7 linked regions of the Rattus norvegicus genome follow. The protein of the gene in region 1 interacts with the protein of each later gene in a biochemical or structural test. Links are inferred from orthologs where the notes say so. Each region holds a gene or a part of one and is shown on either strand. Other genes may lie near its edges.

What was found.
Region 2: the proteins of Esr1 (region 1) and Prmt2 form a complex in vitro, tested with the Homo sapiens proteins (2 studies listed by BioGRID and IntAct). The link is inferred for Rattus norvegicus from reciprocal best matches to the Homo sapiens genes ESR1 and PRMT2.
Region 3: the proteins of Esr1 (region 1) and Flii form a complex in vitro, tested with the Homo sapiens proteins (2 studies listed by BioGRID). The link is inferred for Rattus norvegicus from reciprocal best matches to the Homo sapiens genes ESR1 and FLII.
Region 4: the proteins of Esr1 (region 1) and Grip1 form a complex in vitro, tested with the Homo sapiens proteins (2 studies listed by BioGRID and IntAct). The link is inferred for Rattus norvegicus from reciprocal best matches to the Homo sapiens genes ESR1 and GRIP1.
Region 5: the proteins of Esr1 (region 1) and Foxo1 form a complex in vitro, tested with the Homo sapiens proteins (2 studies listed by BioGRID). The link is inferred for Rattus norvegicus from reciprocal best matches to the Homo sapiens genes ESR1 and FOXO1.
Region 6: the proteins of Esr1 (region 1) and Ahr form a complex in vitro, tested with the Homo sapiens proteins (4 studies listed by BioGRID, with this or other methods). The link is inferred for Rattus norvegicus from reciprocal best matches to the Homo sapiens genes ESR1 and AHR.
Region 7: the proteins of Esr1 (region 1) and Ccnd1 form a complex in vitro, tested with the Homo sapiens proteins (2 studies listed by BioGRID). The link is inferred for Rattus norvegicus from reciprocal best matches to the Homo sapiens genes ESR1 and CCND1.

The regions. Positions count from the first base shown.
Region 1 is NC_086019.1:43,644,190-43,647,689, reverse strand, and holds part of Esr1 (estrogen receptor), read right to left. Parts: intron 3,340-3,500; coding exon 2,802-3,339; intron 954-2,801; exon of another isoform or gene 729-953; intron 1-728.
Region 2 is NC_086038.1:12,400,815-12,404,314, forward strand, and holds part of Prmt2 (protein arginine N-methyltransferase 2), read left to right. Parts: intron 1-2,830; coding exon 2,831-2,956; intron 2,957-3,500. UniProt on the Homo sapiens protein: Arginine methyltransferase that methylates the guanidino nitrogens of arginyl residues in proteins such as STAT3, FBL, histone H4. Acts as a coactivator (with NCOA2) of the androgen receptor (AR)-mediated transactivation.
Region 3 is NC_086028.1:45,904,692-45,908,668, reverse strand, and holds the start of Flii (protein flightless-1 homolog), read left to right. Parts: upstream 1-1,177; 5' UTR 1,178-1,199; coding exon 1,200-1,262; intron 1,263-3,162; coding exon 3,163-3,273; intron 3,274-3,536; coding exon 3,537-3,608; intron 3,609-3,977. UniProt on the Homo sapiens protein: Is a regulator of actin polymerization, required for proper myofibril organization and regulation of the length of sarcomeric thin filaments. It also plays a role in the assembly of cardiomyocyte cell adhesion complexes.
Region 4 is NC_086025.1:57,224,451-57,228,684, forward strand, and holds the start of Grip1 (glutamate receptor-interacting protein 1), read left to right. Parts: upstream 1-1,434; 5' UTR 1,435-4,234. UniProt on the Homo sapiens protein: May play a role as a localized scaffold for the assembly of a multiprotein signaling complex and as mediator of the trafficking of its binding partners at specific subcellular location in neurons.
Region 5 is NC_086020.1:138,461,671-138,465,773, forward strand, and holds the start of Foxo1 (forkhead box protein O1), read left to right. Parts: upstream 1-1,303; 5' UTR 1,304-1,408; coding exon 1,409-2,020; intron 2,021-4,103. UniProt on the Homo sapiens protein: Transcription factor that is the main target of insulin signaling and regulates metabolic homeostasis in response to oxidative stress.
Region 6 is NC_086024.1:57,988,902-57,992,401, reverse strand, and holds part of Ahr (aryl hydrocarbon receptor), read left to right. Parts: intron 1-1,526; coding exon 1,527-1,714; intron 1,715-3,500. UniProt on the Homo sapiens protein: Ligand-activated transcription factor that enables cells to adapt to changing conditions by sensing compounds from the environment, diet, microbiome and cellular metabolism, and which plays important roles in development, immunity and cancer.
Region 7 is NC_086019.1:209,517,811-209,521,310, reverse strand, and holds the end of Ccnd1 (G1/S-specific cyclin-D1), read left to right. Parts: coding exon of another isoform or gene 1-62; coding exon 63-227; 3' UTR 228-3,023; downstream 3,024-3,500. UniProt on the Homo sapiens protein: Regulatory component of the cyclin D1-CDK4 (DC) complex that phosphorylates and inhibits members of the retinoblastoma (RB) protein family including RB1 and regulates the cell-cycle during G(1)/S transition.

The sequences.
Region 1 (3,500 bases):
GTAAAACACAGCTTACAAAACCACAGCTTGTTGATCACGAACAGATCGTGTCTCCATTAACAAGGCACCTCGACAGGTGACAATGTTTCTCACTTAGTTACATGCCCCGAGCTATTTTACCTGCTATATCTGCTCATATGGCTGCACATTGTAGCCAACGGAAAAAGTAGCCACAGCATGTAGACACTGAGTAAATTAAGCTTCACCCAAATTCCCTGAACATCCCTGCTGCCCACTGGGATATGTACAGGAGAAGAACCCACAAAGCAGCCCTATTCCACCATTGGAAATAATAAGTCTTAGTTCTTAATTGCTCACAGATACCAAGGCAACATATATGGAAAAAATAAAATGAAGATGGACAAATTAGATTTTTTGTTTATATAAATAAAACTATAATGACTTACCTAAATGTGTTGTTTTCTCCTAAATATATTTTAGGCCTGTATCTTCCAAACTTCTGTGGCCTCGACTCACACAGTATAACATGGCTTCACCAGTCTAGCATCCATAGACTCCGAAAGTTAGAACCTGCCCTGACTGCATGCATACCATGTACTCTAAGACAATATTTTTTAAGGTTTGTTCTATTTTTAAAACTTAAACTTGGTAAAGTGACTTTGTCATTTACTGGATCGTGAGAAACATTTTTAAAAGACAGTTTTCAGCCCCCAAACTATTGAGAAGTACTTAGGAAGAGTAAAGTTGTTCGATTTTTTTCTTTTAAGAGCTTGTTCAATTTTTTAAAAATCCGGGGTTATTCAAAAGAAGAAGAAGAAGGGGAAGAGGAAGAAGAGGAGGAAGAGGATGAGGAGGATGAAGAGGAGGAGGAGGAGGAGGAAGAAGAAGAAGAAGTAGCAGCAGCTGCCGTAAAACACTCATTACTGGCATGGATATATCCCTTTCACCTTGAGTAGTAAGCCAAATGAGAAAATCCTTCTACCCAGATTCCACCTGTGTGTAAGTTTTATTTTAAGAATCTCTTTTCATTGTTGGTTTTTTGTGGGGGGGGGTGGTTGGGGGAAGGACCTGAATATCATTTGGAATAAAAGTTTAAGATAGGGTATATTCTGGTAAGAGTCTTTGCCGCAGAAAAGCTAAGCGGTGTTGAATAAAATGTGATCTCTTTCCCGTGTTCACTTTGTAATTATTAGCAAGGCAGTAAATAACCCGCCAAGGAGCAGCCTCATTAGTTCCCATTGAAATGCACTGGCATTAATTTGCAAAAATAAAAGAACTGAAATTAAATGGAAAAGAAAATACTTTAGGAACTCCACCATAAGGTTATGGAACTCACATTCTACCAATACCATCCTTAACAGCAAGAAAATTTTAAAGTCTGAATTAGACTTAATCGCCGTAGTTTGTTCCTTTAGCCTGCAGGGCGGGAGAGGGGTGCTGGGGATCTAGAGAATAAAGCATTTGCCTCTTCCGACTTAACCCAGAATCAAAGCAACTGAGATTAATTTGAACAAAAAAAAAATTTTTTTTAAAGTTTCCTTTACTGTTGATTTTGAGTTTGAAATCTGGGCCTGGACCCACTTCGCTGTCTGATCCTTTCGTTTCCTGGGTGGGCTAAAGGTGAGCTGGGATACACCATGATTTCATCCTTTGGTGTCTTCTGGGGCCAAGCCGCACCTTAGTCCTATTTCTTCTACTATAAATATATCTGGAAAGAGAACACTGAGCCAGTGGCCAAAGCCTGCCTACACTGGGCTAGTTCTGGTTCAGCAGCCTGTGAGCACCCAAAGACTTGTACCTGGCCCGTGAAACTCTAACAGGTGTTTACCAGACCCACCCACCTAAGCCTTCTGCTGGCCCTTAAGGAAAAGAAATGGAAATGAGAGGAAAGCGGGGAAGGGGTGTCAAAAAAATTTCTCTTAGGAGAAACAAAAACTGAGGACACAAAACAATTGTCACTTAGGTCATGAAGAGTCTGTGTGTCCTGGATTCCCCTGTGTCCTGGACTGCCCTGGCACAGTGCCGGCGGGGGGAGGGGGGTGCGGGCCATAGCTAACCTGAGTGCCACTCCAGCGCATTCTCTGCCTGCTGGGCCAGGCAAGTAACTCAGCTGTAGGGGATTACTGTGCCGGTGCCTCAATGTGGTATGTTGTAAACACATAGGACACCTATGCCAGCAATCTGCTCGAACTCAACCATAAATCAAAACTTGTTGAGACCCATTCAACTCCGGTACCAGCATTTCTGAGAGGCCAGAATTCAATCCAGAACCCCGGAATGGGGAAGAGAGGGGAAAAGATCTGTAGGCACCTCTGCCTAAAACCCTATCTTTTCCTGTATACCTTGAGTGTTGCCAGTCCAAAACTCTATCTAGTAGAAACAACATTGAACCCGACACCATGAAACAATTAAATTAAAAAAAAACTATTAAATCTTCCCTGAGTCCCACTAATCCCAAACACCTCCAGCTTTAAATAATAAAGGGGTTCCTTGCTAGTGGCACAAACCACTTGGACCTGGGGGTTTGCTAGCTTTAGCTGGCTTGCCCCATAAATAACTTCTTTAGACTGTTTTCCAATGCTTGTACAGTTAGGGAACACGGGGCCTTTTGGGTCTGACTCTCCCACAAGATAGCTACGGAGGAGAACATTGTTGTGGTTGGGGTTGTTGTTATTGTTGTTTTAAAGCCGCCAATAGAGAGAAGGCGGGCTCCGCAAAGAATCCTTCCTGACTTCCCAGAAGGGTGGGAGGGAGCGATCTGCAGCCCGCGATGACCCCCTCGTGCGCTCCCTCCCCAGGCCAGACCGGACACAGCGGCTACCCCGAAGTGGTGCAGGTACCTGTAGAAGGCGGGAGGGCCGGTGTCGCGTACAGCGTAGGCGCTGGGCTCGTTCTCCAGGTAGTAGGGCACCTGGTGGCCATGCGGGTGCAGGAACGGCGACAGCTGCGGCGGCGGGTGCAGCAGCATCAGCGGACTGGGCGACACGCTGTTGAGCTGGGGGAAAGCCCCCAGACTATTGGCACCAAAGGCGGCCGCCTCGGACCCCGGACCGTAAGTGATGCTCGACTGGCCATAGACCGGAGCCGAGGCCCCGGCGGCCGCGGCGGCGGCGGCGGCGTTGAACTCGTAGGCGGCGCCCTCGGGGTAGTTGAACACGGCGGGCTTGCTGTTGTCCACGTACACCTCGCCCAGAGCCCTCTCCATGGGCATCTTGAGCTGCGGGCGATTGAGGGGCTCCAGCTCGTTCCCTTGGATCTGGTGCAACAAGGCCATTCCCGAGGCTTTGGTGTGAAGGGTCATGGTCATGGTCAGTGGCAGCCGCCGAGGTACAGACTGGCTTCCCGCGCACGCAGAGGGCTCAGCAGCGGATGAGCCACCTGGAAAAAGAGTAGAGCCCGAGGTTAAAAGAGGCTCAGCGCAGGTCCCCTTGGCGCCAGTGCTGGCCCTGCCCCTGCCCCTGCCCCTGCCCCTGCCCCTGCCCCTGCCCCTGCCCCTGCCCCTGCCCCTGCCCCTGCCCCTGCCCCTGCCCCTGCCCCTG
Region 2 (3,500 bases), on another chromosome or scaffold:
ATGGGCTCTTAGCAATTAAAACAGGCCCGATACATGCTCAGAGAATCCTGAATGGCCACACTAAGGCAGGCAAGTGGAAATGCAGGACAGTAATTGGCACCCTTCAGATGGGCACAGAGGAAGGGATCAGCGCCTGCTGTTAACGAGGGACACGCCTCCTTTGTACTTACGGTCAGTGGGTCAAGTCTCCATCTCACTGAGTCCTAGTGCAGTCCTGGGGGCCCTTAGCGTTGTAATAAAAGCCATAGAAGTGATGGTCTTGGGCAGAGTGTGGTGGTCCTCACATCTAATCCTGTCACTTTGGAGGGGAAGGCTGGCACTTGAGGTCAGCCCGGTCTACACAGTGTGTTTTAGGCCAGCCAGAACTACACAGCGGACCCTTGTCTCAAAACAACGCCCTCAGACAAGAAGAGAAAGGTAGCCTTGACCAACTTTACACTTTAAGAATTTATCCGCAGGAACTTCTCAGGTGCATGCAAGATGATTGGCGTTCAAGGAAATTAATAATTGATAACAGGAGAAGCTGGGAGTAGTGTGTATATTCCAACAAAGGAGATTGGATAAGTAAGCTCAGATAATTCATAGACTGGAATACTACACAGGTACCAGAAATTTTTTCCTTTAATACTTCTGTGCATTGGTGTTTGCCTGCGTATATATCTATGTGAAGATATGTCAGATCCCCTGGAACTGGAGTTACAGGCGGTTGTGACATACCACGTGGTGGCTGGGAATTGAACTCAGGACCTCTGAAAGAGCAGCCCGTGCTCTTAACCGCTGAGCCATCTCCTTAGCCTGGAAATGTGATGTTTTTGTTCTCCAGGCTGTACATCCACTCAGGCAAAGCTAGACTCTTGACTAACGAGGAAAAGAATGGTTGGATGAGTCAGAGCGAACCCAAGTTAGTGCATTTTCTAAGCACATTTAGGGAGAGTAGGTTTTGAGAGGGGAGATGTGTACATCTGGGCTTTTGAGGTTACATTGTTTAAAGCATGTAACTTCCAAGAAAGTTTAGAGACTAAGCAGTTTAAAAATTAAGTGGTGTTAAAAAAAGACTTGAGCTGCATTACGCAGGTGGCGCTACGAGGCCCCCACACTGCTTATAGTTAGGGTTGGCAGAAATGCGTTAATGTGGTAAAATTTAAAGGCCATAACCATTCGGGTCCTAAGGAAGCATGGTTTGCTGGTTTTAGTGTCCTTGTTTAAGGTATCGTGAAGAAGATACACATTATCTCTCAGGTAGTTTTGATTTTGTTGGTTGTATTGAAGTCACTGGTTTTTAAAAAATCTTTCATTTTTTTATTTTATGTGTATGTTTTGCTTGTATGTGTGCATGTTTGTGTGCAGTCCCTGCAGAGGCTAGAAGGTGTCAGACCTCTTGGGACTGGAGTTTCAGATGATTGTGGGTGCCAAGTGGATTGAACTTGAATCCTCTGGGAGAACAGCCAGGACTCGCTTAATCACCCAGCCGTCACTTCCACCCCCAGTATGTCTTTAAGGCGTGTTTACTCTGATAGACGGTGGCTATAGGGCACAGGCCATAGACTCGCAAAGTCTCAGCCAGGCTGCTTGAGCTCTGTTTGCAGTAGGGTGGAGGATTATAGCAGTTTCCAGCACCTTCCGTAGGCTCTTGCTCTATCTGCCTGGTGCCTTAGGTCTGAAGAGACCCCTGGAGTCCGACAAGCTGTGGTATCTCTGTCACTAGTTGAGTGTCACTCTTGGGAAGCAAGCTGATAAAGCTGAGGGCCAGCACCCACTTCTTCCTGCTCCCGTAGACATTTTCTCTAAGTCACCCTGTCTCGGAGATACAGAGGTAGACCAAAGGTGAGAACGCTCGGTGGTTCAGATTGTTTGAATAACAAATACTTTCTCATTTGAATGTCTGAAGCAATCGAGAGAGAGAGAGAGAGAGAGAGAGAGAGAGAGAGAGAGAGAGAGAGAGAGAGAGGCACGTACACGGACAACAAAGCTCAGAGAGAGAGAGATGTGTACACGGACAACAAAGCTCAGAGAGAGAGAGAGAGAGAGAGAGAGAGAGAGAGAGAGAGAGAGAGAGGCAGAGGCGCGTACACGGACAACAAAGCTCAGAGAGAGAGAGAGAGATGTGTACACGGTGTACACGGACAACAAAGCTCAGAGAGAGAGAGAGAGAGAGAGAGAGAGAGAGAGAGAGAGAGGCACGTACACGGACAACAAAGCTCAGAGAGAGAGAGAGAGATGTGTACACGGACAACAAAGCTCAGAGAGAGAGAGAGAGAGAGAGAGGGGCACGTACACGGACAACAAAGCTCAGAGAGAGAGAGAGAGATGTGTACACGGACAACAAAGCTCAGAGAGAGAGAGAGAGAGAGAGAGAGAGAGAGAGAGAGGCGCGTACACGGACAACAAAGCTCAGAGAGAGAGAGAGAGAGAGAGAGGGAGAGAGAGAGAGGCAGAGGCGCGTACACGGACAACAAAGCTCAGAGAGAGAGAGAGAGATGTGTACACGGACAACAAAGCTCAGAGAGAGAGAGAGAGAGAGAGGCAGAGGCGCGTACACGGACAACAAAGCTCAGAGAGAGAGAGAGAGATGTGTACACGGACAACAAAGCTCAGAGAGAGAGAGAGAGAGAGAGAGAGAGAGAGAGAGAGAGAGGCGCGTACACGGACAACAAAGCTCAGAGAGAGAGAGAGAGATGTGTACACGGACAACAAAGCTCAGAGAGAGAGAGAGAGAGAGAGAGAGAGAGAGAGAGGCGCGTACACGGACAACAAAGCTCAGAGAGAGAGAGAGAGAGAGAGAGAGAGGCGCTCACAGTGTTGTCTTTCTGTCTGTCCCTGGCGGTGGTAGGAGGAAGACCCTGTGGACTATGGCTGTGAGATGCAGCTCCTTCAGGACGGGGCACAGTTGCAGCTGCAGCTGCAGCCCGAGGAGTTCGTAGCCATTGCAGATTACACCGCCACCGACGAGACACAGGTACCTGTGTTTGCTCCTCATACCTTGACTGAAGGAATCTCAGAATACCTCGCAGCGGAATTCAGGAATTCACGTTCACAAGATTAAACGAGACCCGCGCATGACTGTTCACCTCTTATCCTAACACACTGCCCTATCTGGTGGGTATAGAGATGCCCTTCAGGAAAACACCTCCCTGCTCGGAGAACTTGGTATAGAACCCTCCTGGTCCCAGAACAGCGAGGCTATCAAACCGTCCTATGCTCTTGAGTCTGGTAGGAACACGTCTGTGGAGTCTCCTAACTGAATCAGACACACATAGCTAGCTGCCTGCCTTTGATTTTAAAAGCGTTAGGTAAAGGCTGGCAAGATAGCTCAGTGGGTATTGGCTGACAGCCTGAGTTGGATCCCTGGAGCCTTCATGGTAGAGAGAACACTCTGGCCTCAGTACACATACTGTGGCAAATGTATGTACATGTACACACACGCACTCACGCACTCACACACACACACGTACGCACGCACACAGGCGAGTACACAGAATTTTAAGAAAAGAATGTGGATG
Region 3 (3,977 bases), on another chromosome or scaffold:
GCTCCAATCGGAGCGCACAACTCCTGCGCACACGTGCTCAAAACTGAGCAGCTCAGCCAATGAACACCAGGCACGCCCTGGACCTGGGGGCGGAAACCACAGACACTCCGGATTTAAAGGCGCAAGGTTACCTTGTAAACCCAAGGTGCGGGGGAAGTAGTGAGTGAATGACAATCGTCCAGGGCCTGCTCTAGTTTTACTTTGGGGGTGTTTTGTTGAAGAAGGGCCTCACACTAAAGCCATGACTGACATCGAATTCTCTGCAGTCGTGCCTTAGCCTCACATCTGACCTTGTGTGTACTTGTAGTGGGAGCCTCAGTGTGGAGAAAGCTGTCTGAGCTCACGGTCCCTTGATGGACCAGGCAGACAAAACTGCACCTAGCCCAAAGGCCCACATTCTGTCTTTCAAGTTTGCCCCTGCTAGAGTGACTGGTGGTCTCATTTCCTTTTGGCCCGCTTGGCACACACCGGGAAAAGAGCTCTGTTACCTGTTGTGCGAACTCTACCAGTCTCTTCCCTTCTGAAACACTGGGTGCCAGTCCCTGTACATCCATAGAACAGCTGTGTCTGTTTATTGGAAACCTACGATGTGCAGGCCAGGGCAAGATGGCCACTAACAGCTTAGCTGACGAGATATGCTGGTCTTCTAGAGCATGAAACAAGCCTATAAAGAGCACTGGCTAGAATCCTGAGGCCAAGGGAGAATTTTGAGGGTTTGTGCATCCTGCTCTCTGACACTCCTGAGTACTCACTTGGTTCTGACAATTTTGGGAAGCATGTTACACACGAGCAAAGTTGAGTCCAAAGATGAAGAGCTAGGCCCAAAGACCCGGAAGTCTCACCACCACCACGGGTCCCTCACGCAGAGACTGCCTGTGTCCCTGACGTTGGTACCGAAATCTCTCCGGGATCACGGCCAGCTCAGGGTCTACAGCAGCCCAAGCAACAATGCCTGGACCCGACCCTCCACGTTGCGACTGGAGACTGGAAGTGGTGATCGTCTCCAGCAGGACCCCCGCAGGCCTCTCCAGTCCCACAACTCGAGGCCTGAAGCTCTGGGAGTCGCCTAGCAGCACTTCCCGCAGAGGCCGCGGCCGGGAGGAGGCGCGCGCGGGTTAAAGGGGCGGGGCCGGCGCTGACCCAGCCCGCGGCTCCCGGCTACCCTGCGTCTTCCTAGCCCATAGGAGAGCTACGCCACCATGGAGGCCACCGGGGTGCTGCCGTTCGTGCGCGGCGTGGACCTCAGCGGCAACGACTTCAAGGTTAGATGGGGGGAAGGGAAGGGCGACCCCTAGTTCGTCTCTCCCGGCCGCTCCCTCTACGCTTCCGGCACCGGCGGGCGGGGCGGGCGGGCGGGCCTCGGTGAGTCTTCCCGGGCCTGCCCCGCCCGCGGCGGAAGACGTGGGCCGGGGCTCCGGGATCTGGGGCCGCGCGGGATTTGAGCCCACAGGCCGCGAACCTGACCCCATGCCACGGAGGGAATACGCCCTAGCCAGCCACCGCCCCACACTGCGGTCTCGAGACGTCACTTCTCCCTTAGCAAACCTGGGCTTCTCTCCTCCCCAAGGGGCTTAGGAACAGCCCGTTTGGAGGCGTATAAAGGAAAGAGATCTGTTAGTAAGGATTGTGACAGGTGCTTGAGGTCCTAGGCGGCACGTCTGCCAACTGCTAGATTGATGGGCTAGGGGGATAAGCAGCCAGCACCCTGGTTGACCATAAAGAGTCAGGCTATGGGCGTGGTGGTGCACGCCTTTAATTCCAGCCCTCCGGACGTAGAGGCAGGTGGATCTTTGATTTCGAGGTCAACCTGGTCTTCAAACCAAGTTCCAGGACACCCATATCTACATAGAAAAACCCTGTCTTGAAAGAAAAAAAAAGTGCCAGCTAGTCTCAGACCCGAAAACAGGAAAGCTGGACTCAAAGGACAGCTCAGAGGCCTGGACCTTCACTGCCTGGCGTCCGCCCCTTTTGATGTCAGATTGGGGGACGCAGGAGAAGGAGGTGGGCTCCTCCCGTGTTCACCTGCACAAGGACACGTTTGACCCTGTACACAGTTGTCACTTTACCCTGTCCACATTCTCACCATCCTTACCTTTGGTTTCTCTAGTCTCTCTCAATTGAGAACATCTGAGTCTCACTTTGGGGGCTGTGACTGGAGGAGGAGGAAACAGCAAAAGGCAGTTGAGCTTCATGCTGCTCAGATGTCAAAACTGCCAGGTGTAGCCACCAGGAGGTGGTGGCAAATGCTTTTAATCTCAACACTGTGGAGGCAGAGGCAGGCAGATCTCTGAGTTAAACCTGGTCTCAGAATGAGTTCTAAGACAACCAGGACTACACAGAGGAACCCTGTAATTGGAAATTGCAGGGAGGACAAAACCATAGCCTGGTGTGGTGGTACAGACCTTTAATTCCACAGCATTAGGAGGCAGAGGCAGGTGGATCTCTGTGAGTTTGAGGCAAGCCTGGTCTACAGAGTGAATTTCAGGACAGCCAAGGCTACACAGAGAGAAACCCTGTCTTGAAAAGCAAACAAAGGAAAAAGCCAAGGATGCTGAAGCGGACATTGCCTGTGAGGAACGAATGAATGCGAGAGATTGTGCGAGGAACAGTGGGGAGCTGGGCTCTTAGTGCAATCTGGGGAGTGTCAGGGGCAATATTATCTCAGACAGCCAAACTGCCTAGAACCCTGGGGGAAAACAACATGAGTGCCACTAAGTACAGTGGAGCACTGAGTAGCCCTTGAAACAGGCCAGGCTTGACCTCCCTGAGACAGACTCCAGCTGGAAAGACACGTTTGGGCCAGAACTTTTGTCTTTCCAGGGCTTTCATTTAGTGCCATTTTGTGAGTAAGGAATAAGAATAAATACAGGGCTGGAGAGATGGCTCAGTGGTTAAGAGCACTGACTGCTCTTCCAGAGTCCTGAGTTCAATTCCCAGCAACCACATGGTGGCTCACAGCCATCTGTAATGAGATCTGGTGCCCTCTTCTGGCCTGCAGACATACATGCAGGGAGAAAGCTGTATGATGTATGTATAATAAATAAATATTTTTTTAAAGAAAAAAGAAATAGAAATACAGAGTATTCCTCTGGGGACCACAGAAGGTAATGGGAGGGGAGCGCTCGTCTCCTAGACTGTACTCACCTTACTGTCCCCCACCAGGGCGGCTACTTCCCTGAGAATGTCAAGGCTATGACCAGCCTGCGATGGCTAAAGCTGAACCGCACAGGTCTCTGCTACCTGCCTGAAGAACTAGCAGCTCTGCAGAAGCTGGTGAGGGGCGGGGTAGGACGGGGCGGGTCCCCATCCTCAGGGCTAGGCCAGGTAGGCTTACCCTGCAGGAAAGAGGAGTCACTGGAGAGGAAACAGAAATAGCTGTGGGCAAAGCTAATGGAGTGGAGTGGGCACCCACCTGGGAGGTGTGCAAGGAGGGGACTCTTGGGGTGGCCTTCCAAGATGGTGCAGGGACAGGGGCAGTAGGCAGGGGCCGGTCATCTTAGGTCCCCACCTGAGCCTCTGACTCTTGTCCTGTCCAGGAGCACCTGTCTGTGAGCCACAACAATCTGACCACGCTTCATGGGGAACTGTCCAGCCTGCCTTCACTTCGGGTGAGTGTTGGCCAGGGCTGTGGTAGGGTCAGGCATGGGGCAGAGACGCTCTGCCCTCCTCACCTCTGCCTGTGTTGCTACAAGAGGGCTCCTTGTGTGCAGGAGCTCATGAATGGGAGAAATTTCTGAGAGAAAAGCGAGGACATTCCAAAGCCCACTACCTCCTCGGACAGTTGTGAACACGGCAATGTAAGGAGAACATGGTGCTAGGCCACGTTAGTGTGTCGTATGTGCCTTCTAACCTACCTCATAGGTAAAGACTCCTGGCCATGCAAAAGTCACCCCCCAGGCAGCAATGTAGCTATGTGACTGGGCCGGGGAGGTGGCCTGAAAATCAGACTCTAGCCAGCCTTACAGGCTTCAGTCAGG
Region 4 (4,234 bases), on another chromosome or scaffold:
AAAGCTATGTGTTCCTTTCTGACTCTAATCGTTTTCCTTAATAAGGAAGTAGATTCAGAAATGGCTGGTGTCATGCAGTTTAGAAATAATGGCTACAAACTCCCCCGCTCCTTCCCTACGCTGTGTCCATAGAGAATTCCACCAAGCAAACGGACTTTTTCTCCTCATTACCCAGTATTTTAAAATTCCATTTAATGTATGCTGCCACCGTGCCAACGAGTGGCTCCAATGCACACGCAGAATCCTCACGTGCTGCTTGCCGTTTTCCCCCAATTAGTCACAGTGTATTAAAGTGAATGGAATCGTTCAACGTCTTCAGGCAGCTATTTTTGCTGAAGTGCTTGTATCCACATCAGAAGAATGGCGACCGTGAGCACTCCGACTTGGAAATAAAGAGAAATTGAGAATGTTAAGGGAAAAGTGAAATGACACAGGGAGAGGCGCGATCCCTGGAGGAGAACACAATAACTCTTGAAGCTTAAGACGTACAAAATAATTTAAATTTTGCTGATGCTTCCTCTGCAGCCTCAGGCTTTCCTGGTTTCTAAAGAAAGTTCTGGGATGTGAAATGAACCAAGTATTGATCCTGCTTTACAGTAATCCTTTCATCTCTGGGATGTGAATTTAAGGAGATTAGTGCATACAATGAGTAAAATTCTAGATGCCTCTCTCTCTCCCTCCCTCCCTCCCTCTCTCTCTCTCTCTCTCTCTCTCTCTCTCTCTCTCTCTCTCTCTCTCTCTGCCTGTGTGTGTGTGTGTGTGTGTGTGTGTGTGTGCCCGTCCCTGTTCCCGTCCCTCCCCTCCCTGTCTCACTCTCGTGTTTAATATTTCCCAAGATGAAGATCCTACCTTTTCACTTGGCAGGATAGAATCCCCTAGAACAGATAAAGTACACGTGTTCTGGGTGTGGGGGTAGGGGAATTAACACATAATTGTGAGTGGCTGGGCACTTTCCCCTACATATTAGGCATTTTATACATATGAGCCCCTTTAGTCCTTTTGACACTTCTGTGAGTTGGGTATTATTAGCAAGGCTGCTTTAAAGATGAGGGAGGTCAGGGGCAGGAAGGTCAGTACCTTTTCCAGGGTCATGCTGTCAGATCTAAACCCAGTCAGTCGGGTACAAGGACCAGGCTCCTAACTTGTGATAAATATTGCAAACAGATTCGCTGAATATATGAGCAGCATTCTGAAGGGAGAATTCAATTCTCAAGTGTACAGGTTGCCAACTAGGTCGACAACAGAGTGTAGTACAACACGGGAATATACTGATCTGAAATATGACAGGCCCCAAACTGCAACCTACCGGCTAGCTACCGTGTTTGTCCCACCCCACACCATGCACAGCCCTTCCCATGAATCATGGAAAAATCTCAAAGGAATATCTTTGATCTATAATGTCATATGGGTTTCAAACGTTTTCTATTCCTTTAATTTTTAGAAAAAAATTTGTTATTATTGTATGTTTATGGATGAGTGTGAGCATGAGTGACAAGGGTGGGGGAGGGGATAACTTTGCAGCCAGTGTGGGTTCTAGGGATCAAACTCACATTGCTAAACTTGTGTTGCAAGTACCCACTCATACCTTCTGAGCTTCTTACTGGCCCTCTTCCTATTTATAAAATTTTATTTACTTGTTTATTTATTTATTATTTACTTACTTATTTTAGAGGGCCCTGTGTATCCAAACCTAGCCTCAGACTCTCAAACGTTCTGTACAGAATGCTTCTGCCTCTAGAGTGCTGGATTCCAAGCATGTATCGCCGTGCCAAGCGCTGTTCTGCACTCCTAATGATTACTATTAGCTAATCATTATGATCGATGTAAGCAATCTTTCAAAGAATATATTTCCTGTCACAATATCTGCCCACAGAGATAATGTGTGAAGTACATCCATTCGGCCATCTCTACTGGGAATACTTAAGTTGCTTCTCCTTGACAATATTCTACTAAAATTCAAACTCCATCTGGGCATGGTGTCACATGCCTTCAATCCTAGCGCCTGGGAGGCAGAGGCAGGTGGGTCTCTGTAAGTTATAGGCCAGCCTGGTCTACAGAGCAACGCAGGACAATCAGGGCTACACAGAGAAACCCTGTCTTAACCCCTGTTCCTCCCCCGCCACCTAAAAAATTCAAACTCCGCAGCACATGTTTGTAGTTTAGTTTCTGAAAGTTCATAACTTCCTACAGTTTGATCGGGTCTAGATAACATCTCCTTAGTAATAAGCTTTATTTGATGAACAGCTTCCTTGGACAACCCTACAGGATGAGCATGTCACTGTGGCATTTCTTGTTCCTCTGAGGCATGCTACAACATCACCATTTGCAACAGTATGGATAGGATATCTTCCAATGACTGATATTGAGGCTTGGACCCCAGCTCCTGCTGCTATTGGACTGGATGGGACCTTTAAAGATGCAGCCTATAAAAAGAAGTCATTAGGGCATCTCTGCAAAGGGGACACTAAGCCCTTTGTTCTCTCTCTTGCTTCCTGGCATCAATGAGCAGAACTACTTGGCTCAGTTCAACATCCCCCATCATGGCTTCCTACTTCAACCCAGAACCTGAAAAACCCATGGGCTGAAATGTGCAACCTGCGAGATAAAGAACACCTTCCCCTTTCTCAGTGGACTATCATAGATAGCGGTTAATAGTACCTGAAATCTGGCTAACACTGCTAAAGACAGACTTTGGCCCGTACCAAATCCCACTGGCCAGACGCATCAAGGGGCTCTTCAAGAGGGTCATTCTATCAATGGTTTAAAGTGAACTGCTTGTTGCTGACAGCTGTACAGGTTGGGTAGATACCCCAACTGAGGCCTGGAGTCTCCCACCAGGGCATTAAAGAATGGAAACTAGGATACTTGCTTCATCAAAGAATGACAGGCAGAGACGACATGCTGAGGCATGGTGAAAAAAAAAAAGTCGGCTCTGTTCCTCATTGGATATATTCTCCCAGATCTCATCGAACCTTTCTGTGGCCCTCTTCTCATTTTCCATTAGATAGATGGAATCTAAAAATCATCACTGTTTCTGTACCCTTGCTATCATCTTCTCTCCTCAGGCGATGACTCACGGAAATCTCATATGTCTCTGCAGAGTTGCATGTGCAGTTTTGCTCTTTAATGCCTCATGGTCCTTCTTCCTGACATCACTATTTCCTCCATTTCTGTGTGCCTGAAACTTTTCTGTCAAAATCTCGTTTAAATGCCTGGAGTGAAACTTTCCCCAGGTCCTACCCCAGTGATAATGTCTCCTTGTGTTCTGGACTCTCTCTTGACCATTGGCCACATCCTATCTGGGTTGCATCATTTTTGTGTTGCTTTGATCTTTCCTACTGTGCTCCAGGCTCCTGGTGGGGAAAAGGATGTCTGGTGTATCTGGTTTTCCTTTATGGTGCTTAACATAGTTTCTCAACAGTTCTGTGCTCAGGTGAATTGAATCAGAGAGGGAGACTGAACTGGGTTTACATCTCTGGAATTTCTCTCTATACAGGTTTGATACACTCTACTGTCTGAGTCTGGCATACCCTAATATAAGAGGGACAGAGAGCCAGGGCTAATGGCTTTCTTTCCCCTCCTATTGGCAAACTCTGTATTTCTCATGAATCAGGTTGTCTCCTAGTAGATGGTACACCCTGAGGAGTTCATAGATTGAATGCATCTTTAAGAACAATATCAAAGAGAATCAAGCAGACCAACTTCAAACAGGAAATTGCAAGGGGAAATATCCAAAGGCCCCACAGTTTGATTTACACTTAGGGGATGTATTGATTTTTTCATGGTTATTAAATATGATCCTCTTCTTTTACAAACCAGAAGGCTGCATGTTCTCTTTGCTCAGCCCTCTGTCAGCCTACATAGTGGAAAACAATTTGCATTTGCTGTGAGTATAATACAATAAAAACCCCACAAAATTCACTTACATTTATAGATGGTGTTCAATTTTCATAACTGCTATTGTGCCTTCCATGTTGATTTCCTAGATTGTTCTATAAATCTTTAATTATCAAGTTTCCTTTTTAAAAAGTGCTGCTAGGCAGCTGCTGAAGCCTATTGTAAACCTGTGAACTGTAGACACATACTGTATGGCCTGCTGCCAAAGACTTGCTATACACGGACCAGGAAGATATCCCAAGTACGGTCGAGGGTCTCTCGGATTCTCATCAACTTCCGGTTAGGTGTGCTCAGCCGTCTCTGATGGAATCCTTGGCTCCATGGCATTACTACATTC
Region 5 (4,103 bases), on another chromosome or scaffold:
CCCGGGTTTGGGAACTTAAAGAACTGGAGAGACGAGCTGTGCCCCAACAATTGTGGCTTATCTCCTTTTGCGACTTCAACACCTCATCGCTTCCATTCTCAATAAAAAAGAAGTAAGCAACCAGTTAAATTTAATTAGGGGCAATAAAGTGACAAGATTGTCTCTAAACACTCTCCTCTGACCCTTTAGCCACCACTCTGGTCCTCAGGAAAAAGTGAGATTCTCGTAACAGGAAAGAGGTTCCATAGAAGACTTCAGATCTGAGGCGCTACTGGATCTAGGTGCTTGTGCAACAGTCTTCTCCCCGCGCCGCACCTCTTTTGGGTTCAGGATGACTGGAGGCTGGGGGCTGGGGCTGGGGCTGGAGAACCGCGGAGGCTCGGCTTGCAGGTGTGCACAGGTAGGGTGGGAAGGGGAATCCGGAGCCGCAGAGCGACGGATCTTCACCGTAGGATCTTCGTGCCTGGGGCGGCCCGGGCAGATGCCAGCTTAAGAAAACATTTCTCCAAAACAAACCCCACCGACTTCCCGAGAGCTCCGCGAAGACGCGTGGGCGGAGCGGGCTGAGTGGAATCCACGAGGCGCCCCACCGCCCACGTCGCGTCCGGGAGCGCGCAGCGGCTCCGCGCCATCCCGGGAGTCGGGGTCTGGGCACTGCCTGGAGTACTCGATTGCACTCCGTAGTAAACAAAAGTATGGTCGCCGCCTCCACGCCGGTTTGCCTCCTAGCAATCCGAACACTGAGGCGCCAGAGACTCAGAAACACTTGAGAATTACAGAAAATAATAACGGAGATTAGAAAAAAAAAGTGTGTGAGAAAGAAAAACACCCCGCTGCCCCCCACCAACCTACTGCCGCCTCCCGAGGGAAAGGAGCTCCCTCCCAGGCCCGCGTTCATTGGTTGTCTAGGCAGAGACTTGGCGCGTCCATTGGTCGCGCAGCCTGTCAGTCAAGGGCGGGGCGGCGCGCGCGCCGCCGCGGGCGGGGAGCCGCTGCAGATCCCGTAAGACGGGAGGCTGCGGAGTCGCTGCAGTCCCCGCCGCCGCCACATTCAACAGGCAGTAGCGCCGCTGTCGCGCGGCCGCGGGGGAGAGAGAGCGGCCCGCGGCGTCCGCCGGTCTGCCCTTGCGTCCGCGGCCCTGTCATCAGGAGCGTGGTGCCCGAGCTGCCGGGCTCCGCGGCCTGGTCCTTGCCCCGTCCGAGGCACGAACTCGGAGGATCCCCGACACCGGTGACCCAGCGAAGTTAAGTTCTGGGCGCGTCCGTCCGCTGCGCCGCTCCTCGCTCCGGCGTGCGTCCGCCGTCCGCGGCCCCCAATCTCGGAGCGACACTCCGAGCGCCGGCTCCGCGCCCCCGGTGGCCGCGTCTCCTGGTACTCTCTGCTGGTGGGGGAGGGGCGGGGGGCACCATGGCCGAAGCGCCTCAGGTGGTGGAGACCGACCCGGACTTCGAGCCGCTGCCTCGGCAGCGCTCCTGCACCTGGCCGCTGCCCAGGCCGGAGTTTAACCAGTCCAACTCGACCACCTCCAGCCCGGCGCCGTCGGGCAGCACGGCCGCCAACCCCGACGCCACGGCGAGCCTGGCCTCGGCGTCCGCTGTCAGCACCGACTTTATGAGCAACCTGAGCCTGCTAGAAGAGAGCGAGGACTTCGCGCGGGCACCGGGTTGCGTGGCCGTGGCGGCCGCAGCTGCCGCCAGTAGGGGCCTGTGCGGGGACTTCCAGGGCCCGGAGGCGGGCTGCGTGCACTCGGCGCCGCCGCAGCCCCCACCGACCGGGCCGCTGTCGCAGCCCCCACCGGTGCCTCCAGCCGCCGCGGGGCCACTCGCTGGGCAGCCGCGCAAGACCAGTTCGTCGCGCCGCAACGCGTGGGGCAACCTGTCGTACGCCGACCTCATCACCAAGGCCATCGAGAGCTCGGCGGAGAAGAGGCTCACCCTGTCGCAGATCTACGAGTGGATGGTGAAGAGTGTGCCCTACTTCAAGGATAAGGGCGACAGCAACAGCTCGGCGGGCTGGAAGGTGAACGGCCTCGGGGCGGCCCGGGGGGGTGGATTTGTTGGGGCCCGCCGAGGGTCGGCCGTGTGGGTGTTCCGGGCCCGGAAATGATGGGCGCACGGAGAGAGCGGGCGAGAAATGGCAGGTGTGGCGGGGGCTTCCCCGAGACCTGGAGCCAAATTTGGACGAAGTGCAGGCGAGGGAGTTCTAGAGGGACCCCGGGAGGGCTTGTTTGAGAACTTAAGTGAAATGCCAGAGCAGGCTTGGAAGTTGGCTAGTTGTTGGAGTAGAGGGGCTGGCTTCGAAGGGTTCGCCACTTGACACTCCGGACCTGCGAGGGGTCGGGGCGACTCCTCCGCCCACATGCGCACCCACTCTCCCGACCCTTGGCCGACGAGGTTCCCTCGGACCCGACAGCAGAGGTGACGGGAGCACTGGAAACATTCCCCACGCACACGCGGGGCTCCCGCAGCTGATGGGTTAGCTAAACGCGCAGCGTGCTGAGCGCTGTGCGGGCCAGCAGTTGCCGAAGGTTCCCCGAGGCCGGGGCAAATTTGGTTTTTTTATCCAAAGTGGCCTGAATCGAGCGTTCCCACTTGCTGGGTACGGTTTCTGACGCGCGCGCAAGTGGGTGGCTAAGGTTTTTAGGCTCTGGGCAACCTAAAGTTCAAGTGTGACCCTTGGCCGGGGCGGGAGCAGGCGAGGAGGGGAGGGACCGGGTGTACAGGAAGCCAGAACCTTTAAAGGGCCAGTGCCTCCAGGCTGGGAGGCCACACTTTTGCGCTCAGAGAAGGGCTTCCACAATTGGGCTGGCTTGGGGAGGTATGCTTTTAATTGAAAGCCGAGTCGCTGTTGTGTGTGACCAAATTGTGCATGAGTGTTGTGGAGTGATTTCTCTTCCCATAAAGCTTGGGGCTACCCACGACCTGGTAAGGCTGGGAGCTGTGAGTGAGTATTTGGTGGAAGTCTTAAGTGGGGTGCTCACTGGGGAATTGCCAAAGACACCTGCCTTGAAGGAGGATTGCAGACCTATAAATTAGGTGTTTAAGATTGTTGTTTGTTTACCTTTCCAAAGGTGGCAGGGAGAGACTGAGGCGACTCAGTGTGGACTGTGGCATCTCTACCTTAGGGGTTTGGGGGTGGTATAAGGGCCTAGGGCATTTTGGGAGGAGAGAATCTTACCTAGAAGTCCCTCTCGAGGTGTGGCCACCCCTGGCTGACAGTTTCTCAGTCACAGGTGGGACATAGCTTTTCTCCCACCTGGTCTCTGCTGTATAGCAGAACAGAGATTAGCCTTCACTGCATGCTTGTTAGAGCGAGGTGGTTTCACATACTCTGTCATCCCTGTGGTTAAAGTATCTTAAAGGTCAACTTACTCACCTCATAGAAAGTTCTTGCAGAAAGAGCCAGGGGTTGTTTTATTTTTGCCACAGTGTTTTAAAGATATATACAACACCTTATCCTTGTGTAATATTACCAAGTGTTCCAAAAAGCAAATTACCTATTTTTCATATTCTAAGAATTCACAAAATAGTGGTTGTCTTTAAAATCTAATTTTACTTAACATTTGACTTTAAGTACCTGACTGCTTTACTTGTTTATGGGGCTTCAGCTGTTACATAGAACATTTGCCATTGCAAACAAAACATCCAAACAAAAAACCCTAAACCCTCTGGGCACCCAAAGTACAGTGTGTACTTAACACCATTCTTTTATGTTCTTGGAAAGGGACACAACCTACCTGAGTTTGTGGGAGTGCCTTGCTTTAAGGATAAAGGTAATGTTTTGGGGTATTTTCGGACGGCACTGTGAAGATGCTCTTGAGAACTATAACTTGATTTTAGAAATTAGTTCTTAGAAAAATAGGTTATATCATATATCTTTTTAGTTGTTTTGCTCCATTCTTCTGATTTCTTAATGTGATAATGATTTATGTATTAAATTTTTTTTCCTCGTTGGCACCAAGAACAAGCGCGGGCTTTTGGGGGGGGGGGAGGTGAAGACAGACCGAGCCTTTGCTGCCTGAGTGGCCAGTAAGCTTTAGAAGGGGCCACTGCACTTTGAGAGGAGTAGATGCTTGACTGTAAGAGCTGGTCGGTCGGGGTAG
Region 6 (3,500 bases), on another chromosome or scaffold:
CCAAGGATATCAACCCAATATGGCATAAGAAATTGCAATAAGACTAGGCACAAACCCTCACTCCTATCAAGGCTGAACAAGACAACCCAGTAGGAGGAAAAGGATCTCAAATGCAGACAAAAGACTCAGAGACACCCTCATTCACTATTAGGAGTCCCACAAGAACAGCAAGCTACACAACCATAAAGTATATGCAAAGGTCCCAGCTCAGACCCATCTAGGGCACATGCTTGTTGCTTCAGTCTCTGTGAGCCCCTGCGAGTCCTTCATTGATTCCATGGTTAGTGTTCTCATGGTGTCTTTGACCCGTTGGCTTCTACAATCCTCCCGGTTTTCTTCAGAGTTCCCCTGGCCTCACCTAGTGTTTGGCTCGTCTAGCTTTTTTGGCCAAGACTCCTGAGTGCGTGTCACTCCACTGTAGAAAACTTGATTTTCTTTCTCCCAGCAGCTATCAAGTACAATAGCTTCTTAGCTAGAGGTTAGATTTCACGTTGACCTCCTCTCCTCCCTTGCTAGGGCTTTGTCTGGCTTGACCTTTCCTAGGACTTGTGCACATTGTCACAGTCTCTGTGGGATGTTAGTCCCCTGCCCTGTTATGCCTGAAGTCATCCACTGTCTTTGGCTCTTAGGATATGTCCCTTCTTTCACATAGATCCCTGAGCCATGAGGGGAAGGATGTGTTATAAACATCCCAACCAGGGTTGAACACACTTCTTATTCTCCGTCTTTTTGCTGTATGTTTGCCAGTCGCGGGTGTGTCTGTTAATGGCTATCTCCTACAGAAAGAAGCTTCTGTGGTGAGAGTTGAGCAATGCACTTATCTGTGGGTGTAGCAATAAGTCATTAGGAGTCATTTTATTACTATGTCCATTTAAGAGTATAATAGTAACAGGTTTTCCCCTAGGGTCCTATCTAGCCACAGGTTCTTGGGCTCATTCATGGTGTCAGGTCCAGGCTCCATCTCATAGAGCAGGTCTGAAATCCAATCAAAGAGAGAATATCAGTGGTTCTGTATTGAGGTCATAAAAGTACCTGTAATAACAGCATAGTTAATCTTACTTAGTCTGCGTGAGAAGACTAAGTAAAATCTTTAGGGAGAATCAAGGAAGTAGAAATTTGAGAATCTGTGATTACCAATATGTAAATGATTAACTAGGCAAGTGACTAGACATCATACTTTCTAAATCCAAACGCATGTTTTCCAGTAGTTTTTCTAGGTGAAATTTGCCTAAAAATGATTTTTTTACTTAAAGGCTTTTTCGGTATGAAAATGCTTCAATTGTACAACTCAGCAGTTTTAGTATATTTTTGCATGAATGTTACAGATTTCTTTGTATTTTTGGTGGTATTATTATCTGACACTTATTTCATAATTGTGCTAGTGAGAAAAGCTGGCTCGCAGTGTAGTGGAGGGGTTTATTGGGAAACTCTTCGTGTTTCGTGGGTAGAGCAACCCTTGAGCAGATGTTTTAATGTAATAGATACTTTTGCTCTGTGTTTTCTAAAGGCTTTTCTTTGTGTTTCAGAGTAAAGCCCGTCCCTGCTGAAGGAATTAAGTCGAACCCTTCTAAACGACACAGAGACCGGCTGAACACAGAGTTAGACCGCCTGGCTAGCCTGCTGCCCTTCCCACAAGATGTTATTAGTAAGCTGGACAAACTCTCCGTTCTAAGGCTCAGCGTCAGCTACCTGAGGGCCAAGAGCTTCTTTGATGGTATGTCGGCACGGTTGACTTTTATAGCAGTAACTCACAGTATGCTAATGTCAAATATGGTCCTTAATATTGGTGACAATAAAAAACTGTCCATGAGCGCAAACGTCTTTCTTGTCTTAGAAAATAATGGAGTGACAAAGCTAAATGTATAACTGTTATTAACTCTCTCTCCTGTCTCATTCACCAGACAAATAGAGCCATTTGGATGATACATAGTAACATTCTTTATAAGTCATGTGTTTAAAAGTTATACTCAGGTTTCATTTTTAAAAAGAAATCATAAAGTACTGTGATTGGGGGTGGGGCTGGCTCAGTGGACAAGAGAGGATTTGGTGTGTAAACATGAAGAGCTGAGTTCATATCTCCAGTGCCCACTTAACGCGTTGCCTGGCTTGACTCTAACGGTAGCACTGTGGGAAATAGAGACAGGGCTCTGGGCCTGCTGGCTGCCAGCTTTGTGGGTTCAGTGGGAATGAGGCAGGATGATAGGGATGGACACACAAAACCTTACTCTGTCTCTCTCTGACACACACACACACACACACACACACACACACTTCTCTGACATACATATATACTGTCCTTCTCCCTCTTCTTCCCCTTCTCTGTCTCTTTCTCACATACACATACATACACTTCCTCTCCCTCTGTCACGCACGCACATACACATACACCTGCTCTTTCTTTGACATTCCTCCCGCCCCCCTGTGCTCTTACCGTCTCTCCCTCCTCTCCCCTGTCTCCTGTCTCCTCTCCCCTCTCTCTCTGACACACACGAATTAACACCCGCCCGCCCACGCTGCCTCATAGGAGTAGTAATGTATTGTTCCTGTACTTTCTGTATGGAATTCATGGAGTCTTTCAAAGTTATACGGACTGCTACAGCTTTATGTTAATGTATGTTAGCATCAAGGAAATGTGGTTAAAATGGTTTATGATCAGAAAGAACACTTGAATATGGTTGGACAGTGTTGGATTTCATTCTGCACAGTGCCACCGTGTGACTTTAGTCGTGCCGGGGAGCACCCTGTGCTTCAGCTGTGAACGCACTGAGGGTGGCTGTGGGGCTGTGTGGCCGAGTGCTGCTTATTACATATGAATTTCCAGCATCGATCACTACGGAATCTCTAAAACGGAGTTCCTATTTGAAATTACTGTTCTGACATATTTTGTCATACAAAATAACTCCTTAATTATCTCTTACATGAGTTCTGGGGATTTGAACTAAAGACATCCTCCTTAAATAACAAGGAATCTTCCTCGCTAAGCCATTTCCCAAGTGCCTTATTTTTTTTTCTTTTTAAGTCCATAAATCAAAAGTTAATTATTAAGGATCGTATTCCTTCACAAATTGTAGCAAATGGATTAATGCCAAGATCTCAAACTGCTGTGCACCTAGGCATCATGGTGAGATGCAGAAGTTCCCCCTTCTGCAGACTCAGATGATGCTAATGGTAGCATCCGAGTCACCAGGCAGCCCCTGCTCATCTCTGTGTCTTAGAGGACTGTGTAGAAAGTCATTCCTCTTGGATTTATGTTTGTATGAGTTGATGTGTTTGAGTTGAGCATGGTTGTATATTTTCTTGCCACGTGTAATTTTTAACAATAGCATTCTGTCAGGGCACACAGACACCTAGAACCGTGATTTCATGTGGTGTGCAGTGTACATGAAATCTCACAGCAGTGATTTAATTTAGTTCGTAGTGTGCACTGACTCCTAAAGCCGTCATTCCGTGTGGTTTAGGATGTACACTGAGTTCTACAGTAGTAATTCCGTGTGGTGTAT
Region 7 (3,500 bases), about 170 Mb from region 1:
AGGCCCTGGCCACCGGCCTCTGGCTAAACAAGGACTCCCTCCATCTCCGCCCGCCTCTCCAGGACTGCCTCCGTGCCTGCCAGGAACAGATTGAAGCCCTTCTGGAGTCAAGCCTGCGCCAGGCCCAGCAGAACATCGATCCCAAGGCCACCGAGGAGGAAGGGGAAGTGGAGGAAGAAGCTGGTCTGGCTTGCACACCCACCGACGTCCGAGATGTGGACATCTGAGGGCCACCGGGCAGGCGGGAGTCACCAAGTAGTGGCATCCGCGAAGAGAAAGGAGCCAGCCCGGGTGCTCCTGACGAGGTCCCCCTTGGGGATGTGTTGTTACCAGAAGGGGAAGTTTTGTTCTCTTTGTTGGTTGTTTTTCCTTAATCTTTCTCCTTTCTATCTGATTTAAGCAAAAGAGAAAAAAAATACCTGAAAGCTGTCTTAAAGAGAGAGAGAGAGATAGAATTCGCATCACCCTGAGTATAGGGAGACGGGGGGGTGCTACAAAAATAGAATTCTGTACCCCAGTAATCAACTAGTTTTCTATTAATGTGCTTGTCTGTTCTAAGAATAGGATTAACACACAGGAAGTCTTGAGAAGGATTTTTGATTCTTTTATGTGTTTAAGAAAAAAAAGCTTAAGAAACATTGCTTTAAAAAAAGAAGGAAAAAAAATACAGCAAACCATTGTTAAAGTAGAAGGGTTTTAGGTAGAGAAATGTACTCTGCTTTGCTGAAAAGGCACAGCTTTGGCAAGGTCCTCAACCTCACTCCCCTGCTTGTTCAGTGCCTACAGCCCTGTTACCTGATGATACCTGTGCTTTATCCCAGGAGTGGGCAGACCTCTTAACCTTACTGATGGTCGATTCGACCTCTAGCGGCCTCGTGGCGTGTGGCACCCTCCAGGGCTCATGTTATGGGCCCTCTGCCCCCCACAACCTGCAGGTTCACAGAGCGCCAGCCAGCCACGCAGCGGTAGGGATGAAATAGTGACATAATATATTCTATTTTTGTAACCTTCCTGTTTTGTAGTTCCTGTTTAGAGAGATGCTGGTTTTTGCCTGGTGGCCCTGCAGCCCACTCACATCAGGTTGAACCCACAGCTTTTCTTTTGTGTGTGGTTTGTTTTGTTATGTTTTCCTTCTCCATGTTCCAAAACCATTCCATTTCAAAGCACTTTTGGTCAGCTAGCTGGAGGCAGTGTTGCTGGGTGTGTGTGTGTGTGTGTGTGTGTGTGTGTGTGTGTGTGTGTGTGTCGGTGGGGGAGGGGGTCTAGTGGAATGGTTGGGGGATGTCCACACACTCAATTCTGATGGCTGCACAGCAGGTGTGTAGGGCTGGTAGCATGAGGTGCTTGGGAAGTTTTGTTGGGTCGAGAAGAGAAAGCTCTGTTCTCGTACCACCGGGATCTTCCTGCAAAGTCGGAGGGATCTTTTGGTGCCAGCTGGCGTTTGGAAGTAGGGACCGTGATGGCATTACCTGGACAAGGGGATTCAGGACGACTCTTAAGTCTTTCACACAGGAGGCTTTTAAACACTAAAATCTCTAATTTATACGTAAGGCTACAGAAGAGTATTTATTGGGAAGGTTGCCCATGACCCGTGTGACTCAAAGCAATGTGATCTTCCCTTGATTCAAACGCACACCTTCTGCCCTGCTGGCGAAGGTTTAGGGCCATGTCTGAGAGACTGGTCTTTTATTGGGCAAGTGGGGGTGTCCTCAAAAAAAAACAAACCACAAAGACGGAGATGTGGTCTCCTTGACTTTCCCAACCCAATTGGCCCCATTGGAGAGCCATCCAAACTGAGGAAAATTAGGGGACTCCAAAAGAGTCTTGAGTCTGGCACATTCTTGCCGCCGCTCCCAAGTTAGCAACAGTAGGTAATTTGCACACCTCTGGCTCTGCCTTTCTGTTCAGGATGTGTTGGTGGGAGGTGGAGAGCGGGTGGCTGGAGAGGGGATGTGAGAGAAGAAGTATGGAGGGTAGGGACCACACGGGACAGGCCGCGGCTCCTTTCACAGCGCTGCTACCAATGACTCCCAGGATCCCCGGCGTTCGGAACCAGATTCACGTTGCTTTGTATCTTTCATGTTGTTTTCGCTGCTATTGGAGGGTCAGTTTTATTTTGTTGTTGTTGGTTTGTTTGTTTTTTTTTTACAATGTCATAAACTGCCATGTTCAAGTTTTAATTTCCTCGTAGAAGAGTGTATTTACAGATGCCCTTTTTTGTACTTTTTTTTTTATTGTGATTCAATTTTGGATTAATGTGATTACCGCTGTATTCCCAAAAAAAAAAAAAAAACCACACACACACACACACACACACACACACACACACACACACACACACACACACACAAACAGGTTCCTGTACACAATACCTCATGTATCACCTAGCCATGCATAGGCCTGGCAGGCGGGTGGGGTGGTCTGCCTCCAGGGACCCTGGGACCCTGCTGGGGATCATCCTGTCATGCTGGGCCTTCATTTGATCTGGGACATAGCATCACAGCAGTCAGGGCAACTGTGTTCTGTTAGTTATCAATATTGTTACTTGTAGCGGCCTGTTGTGCATGCCACCATGCTGCTGGACCCGGAGAGATTTGTTCTGAGTCTCTGGTGCATCATTTAATCTGTTAGGTTCTAGTGTTCTGTCTTGTTTTGTGTTACTCACAGCATTGTGCTAATGTAAAGCCAGCCGCAATGCTGTAGGCCCCAGGTTCCCTAGCAAGCTGCCAAACCAAAAGGGTCACCACCAGCTTAGCTGAGGCGTCCCAACCAGGCAGGACCCTTGAGGGCTGCTGTGTCCATGGTGATGGGGTGAAGTTTTGGCCAAAGGGCCAAAGGCTGGTGGATCCACACAGTCTGCCCTGTGACATGAATGGCTTTGAGGGGCTCTGGCTGGTGGTCAGGTTGGCTTTGTGTATTCTGGTTGACACACCATGGCGCTTCCCAGCACAGACATGTGACCAGCATGGTCCAGGAAAAAAAAAAAGACAAAAAAATCTAGAAATAAAATTGGTAAAATCCCAGCTTGCTGTTGTGTATTTTCTTGGCCCTAAGGACAGGAGTCGGGGGTGGGGGGAGGTATGCCATCCTGATCCCAGAGCCATGTGGGATCCAGCCTGTCCTCTGCACCCAGGGTGTTTGGTAGCATCTCTGGCCCTGGCACCAACCTGGGACTCCCAAAGGGAAGGGTGTTCGCGGGTGGCAGCCAAGAGCAGAGTGAGAGCCACTGGCGTCAGGGAGACCAGTGGCGGCCACTGATCAGAAGCGGCTCTCAGCCTGTCGCTGCCAGCTCACCCTCTCGCTTATTTGCAGATGGAAGATCAACAGAGCCGGCGTTCACTGCCCCTCGTCTGGCGCAAATGGGTGTTTGCTCTGGGTGAATCACCGTTCCTAGGTGCTGCCAAGCGCCCAGAGAGCTAATGCTTAGTGTTAGGGCCAAGACCCAAGGTGGCCTTTCACACAGTCCCAGGAGACCTGAGTGACCTGGCTAGACTCCTGTG